Linked DNA regions of Schizosaccharomyces pombe. The protein of the gene in region 4 binds, or shares a complex with, the protein of the main gene of each other region. Each region holds a gene or a part of one and is shown on either strand. Other genes may lie near its edges.

Evidence for each region.
Region 1: nup107 (region 4) and nup120 share a complex: the UniProt entries of both Schizosaccharomyces pombe proteins name them as parts of the npc107-120 complex.
Region 2: nup107 (region 4) and seh1 share a complex: the UniProt entries of both Schizosaccharomyces pombe proteins name them as parts of the npc107-120 complex.
Region 3: nup107 (region 4) and nup132 share a complex: the UniProt entries of both Schizosaccharomyces pombe proteins name them as parts of the npc107-120 complex.

Annotation. Positions count from the first base shown.
Region 1 is NC_003423.3:4,014,680-4,020,597, forward strand, and holds nup120 (nucleoporin, WD repeat Nup120), read right to left. Parts: upstream 4,172-5,918; 5' UTR 4,089-4,171; coding exon 678-4,088; 3' UTR 547-677; downstream 1-546. Other genes in the region: Sre1 cleavage-activating protein Scap Scp1, read right to left, coding at 1-96; Fe-sulfur protein Isa2, read left to right, coding at 5,630-5,918. UniProt on the Schizosaccharomyces pombe protein: Functions as a component of the nuclear pore complex (NPC).
Region 2 is NC_003424.3:2,397,517-2,401,255, reverse strand, and holds seh1 (GATOR2-SEACAT complex WD repeat subunit Seh1), read right to left. Parts: upstream 1,848-3,739; 5' UTR 1,836-1,847; coding exon 1,769-1,835; exon of another isoform or gene 1,728-1,768; coding exon 794-1,727; intron 740-793; coding exon 721-739; 3' UTR 537-720; downstream 1-536. Other genes in the region: nuclear import protein Nxt2, read left to right, coding at 9-110, 189-296; glm1 (glomulin), read left to right, coding at 3,068-3,377, 3,433-3,739. UniProt on the Schizosaccharomyces pombe protein: Functions as a component of the nuclear pore complex (NPC).
Region 3 is NC_003424.3:2,775,616-2,781,589, reverse strand, and holds nup132 (nucleoporin, WD repeat Nup132), read right to left. Parts: upstream 4,303-5,974; 5' UTR 4,220-4,302; coding exon 4,036-4,219; exon of another isoform or gene 3,980-4,035; intron 3,972-3,979; coding exon 667-3,971; 3' UTR 537-666; downstream 1-536. Other genes in the region: serine/threonine protein kinase (CK1 family) Cki3, read right to left, coding at 40-174; tRNA 2'-O-methyltransferase Trm13, read left to right, coding at 5,014-5,339, 5,419-5,455, 5,507-5,974. UniProt on the Schizosaccharomyces pombe protein: Functions as a component of the nuclear pore complex (NPC).
Region 4 is NC_003423.3:438,447-443,557, forward strand, and holds nup107 (nucleoporin Nup107), read right to left. Parts: upstream 3,558-5,111; 5' UTR 3,530-3,557; coding exon 3,470-3,529; intron 3,395-3,469; coding exon 3,347-3,394; intron 3,306-3,346; coding exon 3,272-3,305; intron 3,222-3,271; coding exon 3,095-3,221; intron 3,039-3,094; coding exon 2,946-3,038; intron 2,892-2,945; coding exon 2,783-2,891; intron 2,742-2,782; coding exon 828-2,741; 3' UTR 553-827; downstream 1-552. Other genes in the region: rhp1602 (DNA translocase Rhp16b), read right to left, coding at 1-331; branched chain amino acid aminotransferase Eca39, read right to left, coding at 4,185-5,111. UniProt on the Schizosaccharomyces pombe protein: Functions as a component of the nuclear pore complex (NPC).

The DNA.
Region 1 (5,918 bases), 3.6 Mb from region 4:
GGCAATACAGTAGCTGTACTTGGCAAATAATGAAGGGTTAACTTGCCGAGCATACCCTCGTGAAATTCGGCCTTTTCCAAGAGTAAAAATCCTCATAACGATATTTTCAGTTCAATAACATTGGTAAACGTTCATTAATTAGATCTTTACAAGACCGATATACCCAATTCACTGAGAATCAGTTTTCGCAGGTCTTGGTGTTTTGTACATTCCTTCGGGACCCGACAAATTTAAATTCGGGCACACGGCGTGCAATTTCCGTACACTATTATTAATAGAGAATTATTTAATCTGAAACCAAAAGTTTCAAAAAAATGTTATAAAATAAGGAAATAAAAATTCAAATATATAATTATTGTTGGTTCCAACATTCTGCCGATACTAGCCGTATCTCAACAATATTTCCCAACGGACAACACTAATTAGCAAACTGCGGCAAGCTGCAGCAAAAAGGTCGGAATTATAATTCGTTAAAGATATGTAAATACCAATGCTATCGAAAGTATATTTATATTCAGAATTTAATTTTATAGAAAGAAGTTAGTTATTTATGGCTACCCATCGCCTCAATGAAACTAAAGATGATTTAATTACTAAAACTCTGCCAAGCATATTGCTTTTTTTCTGGATTTTTCTAAATGAGAAGGTTAAGCTGCGTAAATAATTCTTTGTTGCCTTTATAAATCGATATTCATGGCCGATGACATTTCAGCTGTAACTTGAACAGCGACATCCTTCAACTGTAAGTGATATTCTGCTACAATTGCATCTAGAGTAAGTAATTTTTGTGGAAGAAAGTTAGGGTCAGGTTCCTTGTCCACGGACATGTCTGTCACAAGAATCCATGTATCTTCTTTCGGAAGCAACTCCAGAGTGTTCAAAACAATCAAATAATGTTCTATTATAAAAGTTCTCTCCTTTTTTCCAATTAATTCTGTAGTAGAGATATACCGGCTCAGTTTTTCATAAATAATTGCTGCTGCGTCTCGATAGTTTTGATGTTTATACCGCCAACTAAACAAAATATTATACCAGCATGGTTGTGATTCAACGTTAATCATTTGAAAGGCCTTTCGCTCAAGCAAATTGTCGACGTCCTGTCTTAACGTTGGCATTGAATAATTTAGAAGCTGATTTATTTTACCTTGTTTCGTTAATTGATTTACAAAGTCTAGTAAACATGACTTTTTCAAAGGCGTAGTGGATAAAACCATCAATGCAACGTGAGCAGCGTCAAACTTTCCTGCTGCACAAGCGGTTTTTAAAGTCTCATGGGTAATTGCAATAGACAAATCTTCGTCGTCAGTCTCTTTCGAGGCATCTGCTAATAAAGAAAATTCTAATGCATCTATATATGCACTCTCCTCGAACAGCTTTTTTGATAGATGAAGGTAATAACACGATAATAGGTTCTGATGGTGGTATTTTTCAGCAATTTCTTGAAACTCCCGTAAAACTGCGAATTGAGAAGTATGTGAGTAAAGGACTAGAGAAGTAGTCTTGAAACATCGGACAGCCTTAACAGCTTCTTTCGATTTGAGATAAATAAGTGCTTTCAAGTAGACTGCAATTGGGTCAGAGTTAAGCCACCCTATTAATTGCATACATGCATTATATTGTTTGAATAGAAACAACTTTTCTACAAGTTCAGTGACCAGATCATTTTCCGTATCGTCCCTTATAAAGATTGCCGACAAAGACGATATCACGGTAGCATGTAAAGGTGAAATTTGGCTTTCTGAGAAACATTCGGAATAATTCAAAGCGGAAAAAAACTGAAGGGCTGTGTTAACACTTGCTAAAGCTTCCATAGTATTTAAATTACAGTTTGTTGAATCAACATCCTCCTCCTCAAATTTTTCTAGCAAAAGTGCAGAATTCTCTAAAAGAAAACTCACAAGACGCCAATCTTCTAGTAAAGAAAGAAATAATTTATCACATCCTGCAAATTTGGATTGTAACTCATAATCCTGCTGGCTAGTTATCAAAGAAAGTAGAAAAATAAATCCTTCAATAGAGACTTGAAACTTTTTCAAAATACTGTCCAAAACCCGTGCTACCGATGCACACAAAAATAAGGAAGGGGATTGAGCGGAATGGTTGTAAATATCGAAACTTCTTAAGCGTTGGATAAGAGAATCAATGTCGCGCATCGGGTTTTCAAGAGAAACTAGAGTATCAATTAAAGTACTGATATAATCTGGATCGACGTTGGGATATATGTGCTTGTCATAAAATACCCACAATGTATCAAATAAAGAATAAGATGGCAAATCCTGGACTAGTTCTCGTAATGAGTATCTAATTTCAGATAAAGTAGAAAATGACATACAGGAATGTAAACTCCTACCAAGATCCAGAATTTGATAACCTTCAATTAGAGAAGGATCATCTGTTTCAAGGGAACTAATTAATTTGGTCAACGGCTCTTCGTCAAAGGATTCAATGAGATAAGGATCCCTAATAAAAGCCACTTTATTTGCATAATTGATATATGTAACAGCGTTCGAAGGATCGAAGTTAATACTTAATATTTCATCTCCAAAATGATCCAGATATGCAACAAGTTTCGCAAACCTTTCCCATTCATTATATAATAGCCGCTTATATTCATAATAATCGTATCCAGTTAAATCTGAATTTGGCTCTATTTGGATCGTTGAAACTATAGACGACAAAACGGCATTTTTAAGTTCACTTATAGTAAGTGCGCCAAATTTATCCAGTTTATTTTTTGAAACTTGCGAGGAGCTGTTTTGAAAGCTTAAAAGAGCAACTTGTATAGACTCAATAGATGTATTATGTGCAAAAATGTGTTGTAGCCAAATCTCTGAGATATCCCCAGACGACATGTTTGTTGGAACGTCAAAAAAGGTTTTTTCTATGAGGGAAAAGCTATCCAAAGAGTGACTCCAAACGCATGAAAAACTCTCGTCCTGATCTAGACTAAGGTTGCATTTTTGGATAACGGTATTTAAGTTGCTTTTCCAAGCAATAATGAGCAAAAATTTAGATTGAGAGCCCTCTGACGATATCAGTTGAAAATCAGAAAGCATCCATGGTATGAACTCATCGTCTGGTAAAGAAGGAGGAATTATGCCCTTCTCGATGACAACATTTAATTTAAAAGAGTGGGCGTTTGCGTTAAGTTTGTAAATTGAAAAAGAGCCATGAGAATTATCTGGGTAATACAGAGCGATGAAAGAATTAGTGGTGTGATCTGAAGTTAAATAAGGAAAGGATTGTAGAGGAAGTATAGTCTGTGACAGTTCAATGGTTTCGACGCATTGATTAGTAGACAAATCCAAAACTTTTAACTTATAGTCAAGCGATAGCATCACAAGAACATTATAGGTAGACAAAAAAATCATTGAAATAATAGTATTAGGAGAGCGGTAATCTGCCTTAAATGCCTGAAGTGATAGATATTTTTTTAGGGAAAACAAATAACTAGAATCATCAATATGCTGTTCGTAGTGACTAGCGTCTTTTGGATTTAATATAATCTTTGTTAAACCTCCATTGAAAAAGCTTACACAAATTTCAGACGTGCTAATTGCGGCCATTAAATCGGGTTTTTGATTCAGAAAGGATATTGGTCGGTAACAAAGACACCAATCGTCGTCTAAGCGAGCGTCCGGTAATTGGAACCAAGTTTTAGATAATCTAATATAATACAAAACGCGAGCGTGAGTAATAGCATATATAATGGTCGTGTCGGAATGCTCACTGAACGAGAAAGCTACACCGTCCTTCATTACGTTGGATGGAAAATGAATTTTCACATTAAATTTTGATAAAGGCTCCTTCTTAGAATTTAATGAAACATCAAAGATAGTGAGTGTTCTGTTTTGGAATATACTCCATCGTAAAGTTTGTGAACCTTTGCTTTTATTTGAGGTATAAACACCTGCATCATATGCTACACATTCCTTTTTAAAAAGTTTTTCATTATCATCAGCTGTTTCTATAGCTTCAGAATCGTCTTCCGAGTCGTTTTCGAGAGCTGGAACCCACAACGCCAAAGTTCCTTCCAGACAAAAAGATTGTAAGTCTATCGGAACTACCGCATGCTTTAATTCATTCATATTTTGATTTTATTTTTTACTGGTAGCGGTAATACCAGTAGAAATACCAAACAAATAGCTAACAATAGGGGGCAGTTCTGGTTGAGTATCGTAGACAACGACCTACACGAGTTAGCGTAAGACAGGCCAGTCCTACAACGAATTTATGAGAAACGCGTAAATACGAGTATATTTGTAATTCTTTAGCTTTTTAGGGTAGAGGGAGATGGAATGTAAAACTGAATTTTCTTCTTGAAGATTAAGTTCCTTAATAAAATAGAATCATTTGATTGTGGATGAAGAAAGCTAAACAATTTGATAGTTTTTATTAATCGAGCAATTCCTTTGTATTCATAATAATAAAAAAGGAATCAAATATTCATTTAAAACTCAAGAGCTTAAATGGATTCTCTATTTTATTTGTGAAATTACATACAACAGTAAAAGATCTTCAAGATATCAGAAGCCTTTCTTAGATTATTGTTAGTTTTTTTTATTATTTTTTGTATACCTGTAACTTTTTAGCTGTTGTTTTAAGAGATTAAATCTATTTAAATTAACAGTACTCATCTTTAGGGTCTTAATTTACAGCCTTTCAATCTTTTTTAATAAAATAGTTTTCTAATTTTCTAGTTTTGTTTATTTTTAAATTTTGCAAATTCTTAGTAAATAAAACATGTAATATTTTCAACCATACGTTAAATTGTAAATTACATTTTAATAAATATTAATTACGTGCAAGGGTGAATTATTGTTCATTGGCATGCAATTTATAATTTATTTTTTTTATTGCAGATACAACCAATTCTAAGTCTAATAGCCAAGATCTCTTATACCTGATTCAATATTACAATTGCGGTGATATGTGCTTGTACGAACACCCGCAACTTTATAGTAATTAAGCGGTAGTACATACACTGGTATCACGATAAAGAATTAGCTAAAGTAGAAGATTGTAGCAATGGCATCAATTGTGATAAAGACATTTTCTGGATGTGATCCACCGGTCTATGCTAGAATTAAAGGATCGACAATAAATATCCAGAAGAAGAATTAACCAAATGGGTTGAAATTATCTCTAATAGCTAAAAATCTATTCATTTAAAACTGAAAGAGAATTAAAGGAGTAGGAGTACCAAAAGGTAAAAATAATCCAAAGATATTAATTTTGACTATAAATCATCACAAAATTTAGTAGCATACAACATAAGTAAAAAAGAACATTAAATAATTCTAGATATATTTGATAAATTCCCCTTATTCTCTACTAGCTATGGGTGTGAGAGTTTTGTAAGTTCGAATTCAATCTATCCGATATAAATCTCTTAGAGATTGGGTGTTAACTAATAGGTAAATCCCTGAATTTGACTTTAGTCTATGACACACTCGTCAAGTTATGACTATTTCATTTATGTACTTAACTTCTCTATCTCATAAACATAAGCACCAATTTGGAATATACTGAATTAACGAAACAGAGCGTAGGCAATTTGACTTCTATTACGTTACTGTATGTTTACAAGTTAGAAAGTCCTAACTTGTGGCTATAATACTTTGCAGTGATGCTTATGAAATCGCGAGTAAACTTATTGTTTAAAGGACCATTTTTCTTTCGAGAACGTTGTTTTCAAACACTCTTAAATCCTGTGATCGCAATTCGACAGCTATCGCATGGATCGCTTAGAAATTCTCGATCATGTAGAATTGATGCGAAATCGAATACATTAACGAAAGAAATATTTCCCAAAATAAATAATGAATTCAAAATCAAAAATCGATTTTATAGCTCAAAGCTTGCGAACGACCAATTCACGCTTCAAGAGCAATGTGACGAGAAGGGAATCCCTTTTA
Region 2 (3,739 bases), on a different chromosome or scaffold from region 4:
TGGTATAGAGCCTGCCTTTTCAACGCGTTCAACACCGCATCTCAACTTTGGATGCTCAACCTACTGGTACTACTGGATCCGTAATCGTTATGGTTACAGGTGAGCTTTTGGTAAGTTATAAGATTGATGTTACTTATTCTATTCATTTTTTTTTTTTTTGCTTTGCTCTTTTTTTAACCTTTTTGTAGTTGGATGAAGAGCAAATGGCCCAGCGCTATAGCCAAGTTTTTCACCTTGTTAACAATAATGGTAACTACTATGTCTTAAATGACCTGTTTCGTTTGAACTATGGTTGAAGAATATCATAGTGAAAATATTTAATACAAGTATCTTGATTATCTGCAATTTCATTTTCTTTTTTTTTATGCTTTTGTAGCGATTACCGGATTTTCAAACTACAACCTGTAGCAGATATAGCTTTTTGAACCCATCGCTTGTTTAGTTCGTTAAAACAAATTTTCGAATTGAACTCTACCTAAAAGTTTACATTAAGACTTAGTCTAATTTCGAAGTTTTACGCTAAATGAAAATTTAATCTCAAAGCGAATGTTAGTTCACTTGTCTAAAATTATAAATTAAAACCAAAAATTTATAAAGTAATATCTCCTTTTTTACAATTTGGTTATGATCTAGCTGGTAAATATGAAATAATTTAAGAAAGGAAACCAAGCAAGGTCGGCCATTCAATGTATCTGTTACATTAAAATTGAACTAAGTAAATCACAATTTTTCAGGTTTTCTGTCACAAGTTAGTATCATATATTCATGAGGCCGAAAGCATCTCTGAACTTACTTTTCTAAAGAAACGACAGATATGCATTTAAATAAATTTGCATAGGACGCTTTCCATAAACGAACGCACCCATCATCGCCCGAGCTGCTCAAAATAGTTCCTGTCACATTAAAACGGCATCTCCACACTTGACATTTATGGTTATCATATTCACCAATGAGTTCCACCTTCAAAGAATTTAGATTGAAATTTGAGTCTTCTGTCATTGAATTTCCAGCATCTTCTTCCTCTTGAAATACTTCTTCGCAAAGGGTTTCAACTTTAAAAATACGAACATTCCCATCTTTGCATGCAGTAGCTATCAGGTAATAACTACTGCCCATACTCGGAGCCCAGCAAATATCACGAATAAGATCTGTATGTCCGGGTAACTCAGCAACTTTTTTCCATTTTCCATGAGAGTTCTGCTTGTAAATGTAAGCATCATTCATGCATCCAACAGCAATGTACTGTTCTCGCCAACGTGATGGGCACCAATTTACACAAAACGCTGGTTGCTCGTTGCGCGAAGGAGGGGACGGCATTAAAGCAATTTCATTCATTAAAGTCCAATACGTTAAATTACCGGGTTCCATGGCCTCATAAATCCGTAAAGTAGCATCCGCCGAAACTGCTGCTAATTTGCAACCATGTTGAAAAGGGCAAAATGATATGTCTAATACGGCGCTACGAGCATCCATTAATTTTGCAACTTCAACCCATGTCTTGGATTCAAAGTTCTTTTTTTGTTCCTCATAGATCCGAACCCCTCTGTCTAAACTGCAGACAGCTAGCACTTGACCAAATGAAGGATGAGCCCAAGCAACCCTCATTAGACTAGCATCTCCTGCCCTCCATTCAGAAGTGATTGCCCATGTTTCAGTATCATCATTAAAATCGTAAACCTTGACTCGTTGATCAGCTGAACATGATACCATTCGACGGCCATAAAAGTCTTGACAATTAGCTACAAAATCTAAAATAATATTTCCTTACCGTATGTAACATCATTCACTAAATCTTGGTGATTTGTTTGAATCGTAGTAGCCGAAATATCATCCATGTTGGTAGAGACGAGGTGAGCTAGTAAAGAAGGGCCAAAAGATTTTATATGTAAATTATCGGTATCAGCGCAAAAAAAAAGAGGGTAAGTCTAGAAAAAATGAAAGAAGTAAATTTTTTGTAAAGAAGACTTTTCGCATGCTTAACTTTCGGTCCGACAAGTTAACTCATCGAAGGCGACAATCATAGTAAAGAATATACAAAACGACTAAAATAGTCAGCAAATATCTACTGCACATAATCTTCACTCAGTTCATTCTTAATAGATGGTAATAACAAATTTGTATACCACATTGACGTTATTTCACCTGAAGTGATTTGGTAAGCCAAAACGATAATAATCTAATATGTTCATTGACGTTTAAAAAATGAAATGAAAGTTTCAAGTACTATACAAATAGTCTTCCGGACTACTAAATTATTTAGTTGTTAGTGGTATGTATACCTCAGTCAATAGTTAGTTATTAATTACCTTCATTTACAAATATGAAATTATGTGCTTTTTTTAATGGTTTCAGTATAGTTAAAAGTATTATTGATATTTTGTTTAAGGTACAAAATCTTTTGATAAAATTATTGATTTAATTAATGCAAAACTGAAGTAGGTAATTTGAAAATATTAGTCCCCCATTAAAAAATATGCATATATAATGTTAATACTTTTTTTGTAAAATAAGAACTTCACAATAAAATGCTGAGGAGCCGTAATCAAAATTAGCAAAAAAATTCATAAAAACATTTTATTTGATTTTGCAAAGAGACAAACGATAGTAGTAACATTGATATCATTAAAGTGTTGGTTTTTTGAATTTATAAGCTTGTCTATTTATTAAATGCAGTCAGTGTTTAACAAAATAGTGACACTACCAGTCAATTCTTTTCAGTTTTGTATTTGCAGATTATCACAGATTTCAAAATGACTTTTGTGACCCATAATATGTTCTTGTCTCATGTGTGTTATTATACTACAATACTTCAGGACTTAATAGGCAAGTCATGTACAAGTAATAATGATTGTAATTGCACGTCAGTGCCACAAGTATAGTATATCTTTTAAATGGGAAATTTTTCAATTTTTTTTATTTTTTATACACTGAATGTCAATTGGCAATGCCATTTTGACTCTACGGAATTTTGATTATATTGAGTATTGTAAAACGACCCTTTTCTAAAAATAAAAAACAAAGCCTATCCCTTACTCGCTAATCTGAGTTAGTTCGATCAAGGCCAGAAATGGAACAAATCAGGCCGTTCTCGGATAACTACTTGGATCGTCTACGTACAGTTGAAGAGGATGATTATAATGACTGGGAGGGTTCATCTGATACAAAAACGTTATACTCAAGCGTATCAGACAGCAAAATAGGGCATAAAAAAAGTTTTCATAAGGATGGCAAAGGCTTATTTAAGACATTGCGAAATTTTTTGAGTTTGAAAACTAATAAGGTACCTAAAAACAGAAAGTTTTCATTACTAAAGGGTTCTAAATGTAACAATGTGGAAATTAAGGTGTTTATAAGGAATAATGATAAACAATCAAACGGTGCGTCAAAAATAGGATAATGACACTTTGTTTTCTTAAATTTTAACAGCTGTAGTTCATAATTTTAAAGGAAAAGATTCAATTCATGAAGCATGGAGCCAATATTTAATTTTTGATAGCATGGGCTTGAGTCCCCTTATACACATATCTGGAGAAGATAAATACAAAGTTCTTTGCTTATTTAGTATATGGAGAAGAAAACTTGGCAAATGCTCAATTTTTACTGTCCATGACCCCGATATCCAAAAGAAAATAAAAAGCATACTGTCATACTTATGGGAACTTAGTAATACAAATGACCCTCCTCATGTTATCGTGTGGCATACCGCAAAAGGCACTAATGTCATGACAATGGGACCTTT
Region 3 (5,974 bases), on a different chromosome or scaffold from region 4:
ATTGAGAATCTGGATTGCTCTCTAAAAATAATTACATACAAATTTTAGGGCAATTGGCTGATTATTGATTAAATTTACACCTTGAAATAACATGCCAAAAGATCCTTCTCCAATCTTTTTACCAACGCGGTAATGAACACCAACGACGTTGGAGTGAGACGAAGTAGTTGACATGATGGTCTTTTAAATATTCCACTATGTTAAATGCAGTTTTCTTTAAAATGTTTTTGATTAAAAGAGCGTTCCGGTTTGTTAAATGTTGATGTCTTTCGCACTCGAAAGTTAAAGATGGTTACGGGTAGAAAAATGAAGTAGATGCCGCTAAAATCCACAAAGATTCCATGAAAAACACAAAGAAAGTGACAGTTCAATTATTTCGTTTACAGTTGACAACCTCAGAGGAATCCGAGGCAGCCAACACTGTACTTGGTAGTGGACAAGTAAGCAGTACTGGGTTTTCCACCGATATACCAAGCTAGCGTAGTATAAGGTTGGAAAGCTGAAAATAGATATAATGGTATACTTTCTAGTTTGAGTTAGTGGTAAACAAAATTTTATTTTAGATTCATTAGCTAACAAAATTGACAATGATCAAGGGACTCGGATGAAACCTATCTAACCAAAATTCTTTTATTATCTAATGGGTTTGTATGATTAAGATAAAGGTTAAATCGTATCGCAACTTAAACACATACTAATATAGCAAGTATTTAAATTAGTTTTTGTAAGATAATGATCCAACTTTACGCTTTCACGATTAAGTACTTTGGTAACTTCAGTCACATCTCCAAAGCGAGCGGGTGGGTAAATAGAAATGAGATTTTGAGGATCATATCCTTCAAACTTACAAGAAGAAAGCGAACCAGGTCGGATAAGTCCTTCATGAAAAAGTCCGTTTATGGTCACAGCCTCTAGAGTCCGATATAGTGCTGACATTCGGAATTGGGTTTCTATAATTGCATCGTTTTTACCCTGGGTATCCAAAACTTGGATCCAGTTGTCATGTAAAACAGCTCGTCTCCAAATGGTATTTTCATAAAATCTCTTGGCATCGTCCGTTAATCTGGTGGTTAAAAGAAGACGCAAAGCAAGATAATAGTCGGTAACTTCACCTTCTACAAGGTCCTCTCGACGGTATAAAGAAAAGCTGAGGTACTCCAACAGTTCAGTTGCTTCAACCACCTGTCCGGCAATGAACTTTTTGACTACGCGCTGCATAACCTGACGAGCGATAACAGGCGCTACCTTGGCACCAATCAAATCATCCACAACAGCTTCTACAAGCTGGTATTTTTTCCCCTGAGAACGAAGCCGTTCAACGACTGGCATAACACTTTTGGAAACCATTTTTTGAATATGTAGTTGCTCAAGCTTTTGTTCCACTAAAACCAAATCTCTGATATTTCCAGAGTTGGATGGAACTGCATAAAGAAATAATTTACTTAATGAAAGCTCAGATTCCTTTTTATCAACCAGCTTTTCTTGTTTAGTAGCCAACTGTAGCAATCTATGCGACGCAGCATCGTAGTCTCCTAACCTCATATCATGCATCCATGAAATCTGGTTGTAATCTCGAGATTTAAAAAATTGTTTCAAATAAGATTTGTTGAACCTGTCGCTATTAAGCAACTCTAATGCCATGCCATTTTCAACAAAATAGTCATATAATATAAATGCGAATTTTATACCAAAAAGATCAAGGTAATTGTTTAGTGCATCCGTGAGCTCATTGTCCTCATAAAGTTGATAGCACAATTCTACTAAAGAACGATAGTCTGAGTATTTTTCAGCGATTCGAATGGCACTGCTGCCTTTACCTATATCTGATAAAGTTTGAACCCAAAATCTGCGATTAACTGCAAAAGCTTCCTTGACATCTTGAATTTCACTAGCATCCTTACCACAACGTTGTTCTATCCATCTAATCCTTTCTGAGTACGCGTCAAAGCAAACCTCTGTCAAGGCCACTAATTGTACTTCTAAATTTGAAACGACATTTCTTAGCACCCCTTTATCCTTTATTTTAAAAGTATTCTCCACATCCGAGGTTCCTTGATGTGACTGGACAAGCGCTGACCGAGTAAGTTCAAACTGTCGACACAGCAAAACTAAAGTTTCTGGCGTTGACGTCCAAGGAACCTCTTCTCCAAAGGTATCAATACTTAGCTTATAAATCTTCTGGGACTCACGGCGATAAGCCAAAGCCGAAGATTGAATTGCCAGAATTACTTCATTAGCTTCCATAATTACATCAAGAACTTCCAATGGAAGTTCTTGAACTCGAGAACCTGAATCTATGCAAAATTCATGTGCTTGCGCTATCAGTTGATCAATGCTTTCAATATTATGCAAAAACCACTCTCTCAAAGCGTTATCCGACGAAGCACTTTGAGTGAGTCTATAAATTATGCGTTGAAAAATTAGGGAATGACTAACAGTACTAAATTCAGTATCGATAGTATTCCATAAATATCTAACAGAATTGCATTTTTCGCCCATTACTCTCAACTTGTATAGTACTTGACGATCAACATCCAGTGACATAGACCTAATATACCGGACAAGATTATTCAAAGAATTTAACCTACAGGACAGATGCTGCATTAAAGAAGCAAATAATGGGGGTAAATGAGTAGACCTTGAATTCAAGATGTCCATTCCAAGATCGACAATAATCCTTTCGAGTTCAGGCTTTTTGATGGAGCGAAGGTAATTGCAGGAAAAATCGATCGGATTACCAGGAAGGAAGGAGTAAAAAACAGCTTCTTCCAACTTGCTTTTTACGAGAGATTCGTTATTTGCAGGATGCTCCAAACTATGAACTTCTATTTCAGCGATACCAGAATAAGGGGTTGCTATAAAACATGATTCCGTAGGAATAGAGTATTTTCCTAAAACGTATTTGTAGCAAGTAGACATAAATATGCCGCCAGAGACATTAGTATTCATACGAATAACCTCTTCCCATGATGTTCTCGATACAATATCTTTATCATCCTCTTGGACGTGCACTATAATAACAGCGTCTGTTAAAACCACAAATAAAGAATTCCCTGATGATGAATAATGTAGCTTTGAAGACTCAAGAGATTTAGAAGAAAATGAATACAATGGATGAATATTCATTACCGAGGGTGAGGAAATGTCAGAAAAATCAAGAGAAATAATCATGTAACGGTAATTAATAGAATTTTTCCAACATACTAAAAAACTCACTAGATTTCCGTTTGTGGGGCATATAGTAAGGTCTAACACCTCAAGTCCGCTTGCATCGGGGCATCCTTCTCTCAAAACCTGCTTAAAAATAGGAGACAGATTCATACCAGAAACAAGCTTATTTTCCAACTTCAAATCATATATCTCTAGTAAACCAGATGCCTCAGCGACATACAAAAGATGTTGGTATGGAGAGAACAGTGGTGGGGATTTTAAAGCAATGATATGAATGCTAGGGTAGTTAAAAATCTTCATTTTCTGAAGAATAGTAGAAAAAGTACTAATATCGGAAGCAAATAATTGTACAGAAACGTCAGGTTGACCTGCAGGATCGCGCAGTTGAACAGAAAAAAGACGACCAAAATTGGTAGATATGATGAACTTCATGGGGTTTGAGCAACATAAATGCTCACATTTTTCTTTGGGGAGTAACTTTATCAAACTTTCCATTCCCTGGGGACATATATAAGATTGAGCGAGAGCATTCCCAATTGAAGTCCAATATGCTATACGACCAGAGATAGGCATTACAATCAGCAATCCAGGTTCTTTGTCAGAAGCATCAGAAGGGACGAAGGCTGTCAAGGCATTTTGCCCGGAAAAGCCATTTGAGTCCTCTTCAGGTAGCGGAAATGTTATAGTTGGAGGTTCTGCTGTTCCCAAGCTTTGACGATACGACAAAATAAAGCAAGCTTTTCGGGAATTAATTAATGCATAACCGATGTCTGTGTAGCATGATCCACTTAAAGGATGGTCTAAATTGAATAGAGATGTTAGTTACCTAGTAATGCGCACAGTGAAGAAATAAAAGCTTCGTACCGTTGATAATTTTAGAATTAAAATGTTTAAGTAGACACGAGACCTTGAAATTTTTAGATCTGAGCCAATCCAATGAATTATTATAGGCAGTGCTATCCAAAAGCGATTTCTCAACAGAAATTCGTTTCAAAGGGCTAAAAGATACGACTTCTTCATTTTTCCTTTTACCAAGGATAGAACTCATGACTATTTGACGATATCAGTACTGATACTGGCGGTTATCGTCTATTTGACTCCTTAATACCCTTAGGGATAGAATATGGCTCTGAGAAGGACGAATGTCGACGATTCCTACAAAGAAGGGTTTGAAATCAAAAGAACTTTACTTAGACTCCTATTTTTTACTCAGAATTAAATAGTTAAGCTACTGATAAGAAATTCAGAGTAAAATCAATATATCAATATTTCAAAATCGGTGTATATGTCATATACACTTTTTTCACAAATGTCAACACAGTTTGCTCTTTTGTAATTAATTATTTCTTTGCTTTGGTATATTTAAGGAAGTGATACTTAGGATATTGTCTTTTCCCGGAATGTTGTATAAAACAGAGGTTTTTAAAAAGTAGTTGCGTTCTTCAAGGTCAAGCTTAAACTACTTTTTTAGAACGCATGATCAATTTATATAAATGTTTCATGATTCCGTATTTGAATTTTTTTTATGAGCACGCCAATGGTTGGAAACATCAGATTTCTTCGTAAAATCGCACATCTGGTACAGAAAACTATAAAAGTAGTAGAAAGTTTGGGACTGGGTTGGAAACAACTGTAATAAAGAGAAAAACGCGAAAATACTTTATTTTGAAGTGTCTGAACTGCCGAATCGGAAAGCTATTTTTCATTAGTGTTGTAAATTATCCGAAGGACTGAAAAAGACCAAATTTTACAAGAAAAATAAAATTATTGTATTTTAAGATTTACTTTTGTGATCAATATTCAGGCTAATATCACTTAAGAGTTAAAAAGTTATCTAACTTGATGGCACGAATAAAAAAAATTTTTACTCAGGAAGAATTAAAACAAATCCCCTGTCCATATGATCACAAGCATACAATTGTGCGACATCGTTTAGAATATCATTTGAAGCGTTGTAACGCGCGTCCTGTTGAAAGGACCGATCCATATTACAAGAAGGACATAAATATCTCTACTTCAACAGATGCTTCAGAATCTTCCTCCTTTGAAATCGTCGATTTAAGCAAGGAAGAGTTGTCAAAATGGATTTGTTTGTTCAACAGAATTAGTGATTCTTTACCGACTCCTCAAAAAAAGGTGTTGTTTCACCCGGCAATGAATGCAAGACTGTATGTACGAAGTGCTTTCTCATTAGCTTTTTATTAAGAAGATGGTTGCAAAAGTAGAAACTAACTTCATTTTTAACAGTGAAGAGGGTACAAAAAAAAAGCATGCAATTCAGCAGGTATGTTCGACATGATTTCTTAACGGCAGTCAAAAGCATTAACCATTTTAGGCATCATTGTTAGGACATATGGAAAAACTACATTATTTTGACAACCAAGGATCTATATATTACGAATTCGGTGCTGGAAGAGCCGAGTTATCAAGATATGTTCAGCACTGCTCCCAACAAGAAAACGTATATATACTTATTGATCGTGATTCAAATCGAACGAAGCATGATAGCAGGATATTAAAAGATAGCATCAAAAATAACTGGCCTGAGCCAAAAATTATAAGGTGTAAAATTGATATTAAGGATTTGAAACTCGATTTTTTTGCTAGTGAATTTCGGAATAGTGGTAAACCTGTATTTGCATATTCTAAGCATTTATGTGGTGCTGCCACAGACCTTACCTTGAATTGCTTAAAGTCCTCCCCTCCTAATGCTCTTGTAATTGCCCTTTGTTGTCATCATCATTGCCGATGGAGAACACTTTCAACCTTTGCTAGAGAACAATTAAGTCATTGGGGAATTTCA
Region 4 (5,111 bases):
TTATTCCCTCATCCTTACGTTCCAATTTTTTACTATAAAAAACCTGAGCTGGTTTACTAGTTATAGGCGCGGAGACGATTACTTCCTTTTCGTTTGTATCTATCTCCTGTCTCTTTAAGCTTTCAAAAGCATCAGAAAGAAAATGTTGGGTTTTCTTTTTATTCTTAGATTTTATAGATTGTTTTGGGATGGATTCATCTTCGCTTTTGGGCAACCTTGGTAATGAAGTAGATTCATTTTCTTTCCCTGCTGTATTTACACCGAAATTTTGTAAAAAAGAGTTATTCGCTTTTTTAACCCCACTTTCCTTATTTTTAGACGCTTTTTCCATCAAGCTCCCTCAAGCAAATTGCACTGAACGTGAACATTCAGTGGTAGTAGAAATAGCTTGTATACGATGGGTTCTTACTAAGTGAAGATTGGTGTCAAGAACTCAAATATTTCTATTTGCTTACTTTAATGTTTTTTTGAGTATAAAAGTAAACCCTACACAATATATCCACTAACACAGTTTTCGAGTCGAAATTTGTAAAGACTGCTCAAATCGACTATAGGATTTAAGAACTTGCGCAATGGTCCTAATTAACCGAACTTTCAAACAATTTTATAAGAATGTTTGCAACAAAGTGTCTGCAATTCTGGATTTAGTTCATAGTCTAACTTTTTGGAAAAAAAAATTTATATTAGAAATAGTCAAAAGTTATGGAAGTTTTTCAGCTTAGTTTTAAAATCAACGTATTAAGATAAACTGGTTATCAATGCGAAGATGATACCACATTTGCAGCATCACTATTAGTTTTCGAATTGAATCTCTTATACATTGACACTTATAAAGAAAAAAGCCCATTAGGGGTTGAAAGGCTACATTCTCCGGCCTTTCCTAAATAAGAAACATATTCAACCAGTCTGCCACTTTTAATAAGACAATGGTAAAGTTTTAAATCTTCACTGGCAACTTCGTTAGCCAGAGCAAAACAGCTATCATAGTCCTCAAGGCTAAAATAAACATTATGCAAACCGAGAATTAGTTCAGGCACATACAAATTCCGAATAGTCATAAGAGTTTTATAAAGCAAAGGATCATCATCTGGTTTCAGCTCCAATGTAGACGGGTGAAGCCAGTTAGCTTGAAGTAAGTCTGTGAAGGACTTTACACATTTACGAGAGGCAAAATTCAATTTTTTTTTCCAAACTTTATAAGAAGTGCTAGCTTTCGTAACTGCAGAATCTTCAAATACTTCTTGTTTAGAAAGCTCTTCCCATTCTTGATAAAATTTAAGTGCTCTGCAGAGAGCTCGATAGTTCATCAGTTCATACGCATCTCTAAACTTAGAATCGTTTTCGGGTTCACCATCGCTAGAGCTTAGCGTATTCAAAGCATCAGAGGGAATATGTGTATAAAGATCGTATGCACTATTTAGCTCGCCAATGCTTAAAAAGAAACGATATACAAGGTTTGCAAATCGGAGCAGCTCATCTGTCTGTGAAGTGATTAATAACCATTCAAGGGTGCAGATGAGCTTTTTATAAGATGGTTCAACTGGCTCCTCAATAGATTTTAAATATACTGTGTGAACTTCTTCGGGAGAAACAGAGACAACTTCATCATACACATATTCAACAGCTAGTAACGCCGCATGATTAATATCTAATGAATATTTTTTTGCTAATTGAAGTTGTTCTGATCTTGCACTTTCTTCATCAACAAGAATAAGGAATCGAGAATAAGCCTCGTACTGCACTTGATTTGATAGGTACTGAATATACAATGGAACCAAGTTAACTTTTTTAGCACTAGCCAATAACTCAATATACGCTTGGATAATAGAGTCAGAAGTATATTCATCCACAGCAAGACCTGAAATCTTCAAAAATAAAATTATGTGTGTCAGTATTCGAAGAAGAGGAGGTGTAACCAAATCCCCAGACTCAGGGGCATTTCCAGTCCGAATTGCTTCCAACTGTATGTGAGCAGAGCTCAAAATTTCCGAAATTTTATTACAAATGATATGAGTTTGAAGTTTAATTAGGGGATGTGATGCTTCTTCTTGGATTGAAGCAATAGAGCTGTTACTCAGCGAATTAAAAATCAATTCGGGAGTTAAGCCTAAACCACTATCCACTGGAGGCAATTGTGTTTCTGTTTGAGGAGCCTTAGAAGAAAGATAAACATCCAAATTGTACTGAGTCATACTATTATAATAAGCCCACATCGCATCCTCCCAAGTTGTGCACACATCAAGGACGGAGTTCAAGTCTCCACATAAAGCGCCATAAAGAGCGCGTTCATAAGAGTCTATCCGTTTATTTTTTGTAAGTGCTAAACATGATCTGCGCAAGAGTTCCTTTCTTTTATTACCGGAAGTCTCGGATTGCAAAACATCGTCGATGAGGTTATCTCTATACTCCAAAATTCCTTGAAGTGAAGCAGAACGCCAATGATTACCAGTTCTCCTACACAGCTCTAATAGTTCTTCAAAGCTTCCCGAACGAAATAAGCAGAATGCAGTATGAAAAAACTGGCGTTCAAAGTTATCATCTCGTTCGTCTAAACGTTTGTCGTCTCGTATATCTGCATCAGGATCGAGATTGGAAACAATCGTACCTGAGATGTTGGAAGAAAACCTAGAACCACCTCGGTTTTTCATTTTTATATCCTCTCTTGTATAAAACCATCGGTTTCCTCGAATTTCAATTGAAGGAGGATCGGAGGAATTATCACGAGCCCAATTGAATACGATCTATAGAATATTAACAAACATATAATAAAAAAAATACGTACATTATTCTCGAATGCCTCGGGATTTTGAGAGTAATATTCCTCTTCTAAAACGGCACGAGACGAAAAGGCATGCGACTGAATATGCCCTTGTTGTTCAGATAATCGAAACCTAGTAAAAGTTGTTAAAAACCAAGTTAAACGAATGGCAGCGAAACGAACATACGAGTAAAGACGTTGTATTAGGTCCCATGTACGAGATTCTAAATCCCATAACTCTATCCATTCTTCATCATCTTCTTTCAAACATTTTTCAAATCTATTTATGTTAATACAAGTGTTCATTCAAGTCAAAGTACAGAACGGTAACCATACTTTTCCTGACACAACTCATAGTATGCATATAGCAGCCCATCCTTTGAGAATAAATTGTCTTTCTTTAAAGAAGTGATTATATTAAACTTTTCGTATTCGTCTCCAAGTTCAACGCTTACGGCGGTTTCTGTACCATAGTTAGATATATACTTTACTTGTACGTGATAAGCTTTATACCATTTGGGCCTATGCAAACGACATTTTGATTCATCTAAATGGTTAAAATAATGTTAAATTTATTTAATAACAAACCTCGGCCTCTTCTTCGTCCATTTCAATTAGTTCTTGAATACTAGAACTCTTCGTATGTTAGTACTTCTGTGTTCCAAGCAGTAGAAATTGACAATAAGGGTTAAAATCTTATTATTAACTTACTCCATTTTTTTTGTGTCCAAGGACATTCAGAGTAGCATTATTCAATGCATTCTGATGCATGGTTTTGAAATCCAACCTCGTATGGGTTAAGATCGTACTATAGCAGCAACAAGCCATCCAAGCAATGTAATTTCAACAGACCAATTCTAATGCTATATTTCAGTTATATGCATACTATTTTCTTTTTTTTACATATTTATATTCATTTGTTTATCTACTACTTCTTTATTTCGAGAAAAGACATAAAATTTATTAAGTCCATGAATTTTCTTGTCAACTCTGCACACTAGTAGAATGGAACTAACTGTTTCCACGATCAAATGTCGAGCCCAATCAATTACTTTTCTCTCATTTACCATGTAGCTTAGATAATTTTATTTACTATTACATTTTTACACTTTACTAGCCTAAATGAATAATAAACGATGTGTATTGAATAAATTTAATATATCTGTAGAATAACACTAATTGATGTTTACGCTAGTATTGAACAATTCATAAATACTCCGATTGATTTACAAATTTATATACAAGAAGACTATCCTTCTGTAATGTTATCAATAAAAGAATTGAAAAGGAAAAGTAACACGAATCAGAGAAACCAACAAAGATAAAAGGGATTAACCCTCGAAAGGTCTATATGTAATAATTATGGACACCTAATATCATAAATGTCTAAAGACAGACATAGTTAGGTATTTTTTGAGAATTAAATTTAAGGCAAAGCAGGAACGCTCCAAGGGTTGTTAGGTTCCTTGCCGTATTGGATATCCAAAATCCATTTGCTGATTTCAGAAGTGATGGGACCAGCTTCCTGACCCTCAGGCATGGGAATTTCATACTCAGTACCCTTGTAGTTAATAGCCTTGACGGGGGAAACAAGGGCAGCAGTACCAGCTCCAAAGACTTCCAAAAGGCGACCTTCCTTAGAAGCTTGAGCAACCTCTTTCATGGAATACTTGCCCTCAGTAATCTTCCAGCCTTTAGGTGCGAGACGTTCACGGCAAATTTCCAAAATAGAATCACGAGTGACACCAGGTAAGATCATACCGTCAAGAGGGGCAGTAATGATTTCTTTTTCGCCATTCTTGTTAATCCAAACAGTAAAGCAGTTCATAGTACCAACCTCAGTAATGTAGTCCTCGTCTCCATAAAGCCAGAGAATCTGAGCATACCCCTTCTTGGCAGCCTCTTTTTGAGGCAAAACACTAGGAGCATAGTTACCACCAAGCTTGTAGTGACCAGTACCGCCAGGCCAAGCACGAACGGATTCTTCGGAGCAACAAAGCTTAACGGCCTTGAAACCAGAGCTGTAGTAGGGGCCAACGGGAGAGGCAATAACATAAAGCATAGCGTTGTCACAATGGTGGACACCTAAGGCTTCATCAGTACCAATGAAAGTAGGACGAATGTACAAAGAGTAACCACGCTGATCAGGGACCCAACGGTTTTCGTGAGCGACGAACTTTCTGATAATTTCAGCAAGCTCAGCAGGGTCGAAGGAAGGAAGAGATATACGAGTACCAGTTGAAAGCATACGCTCAGCATTCTTGATGGGACGGAAAAGACGTGGGACACCCTTTTCGTCACGGAAAGCTTTCATGCCTTCAAAGCACTCAAAACCATAATGGAAAACGGAGGA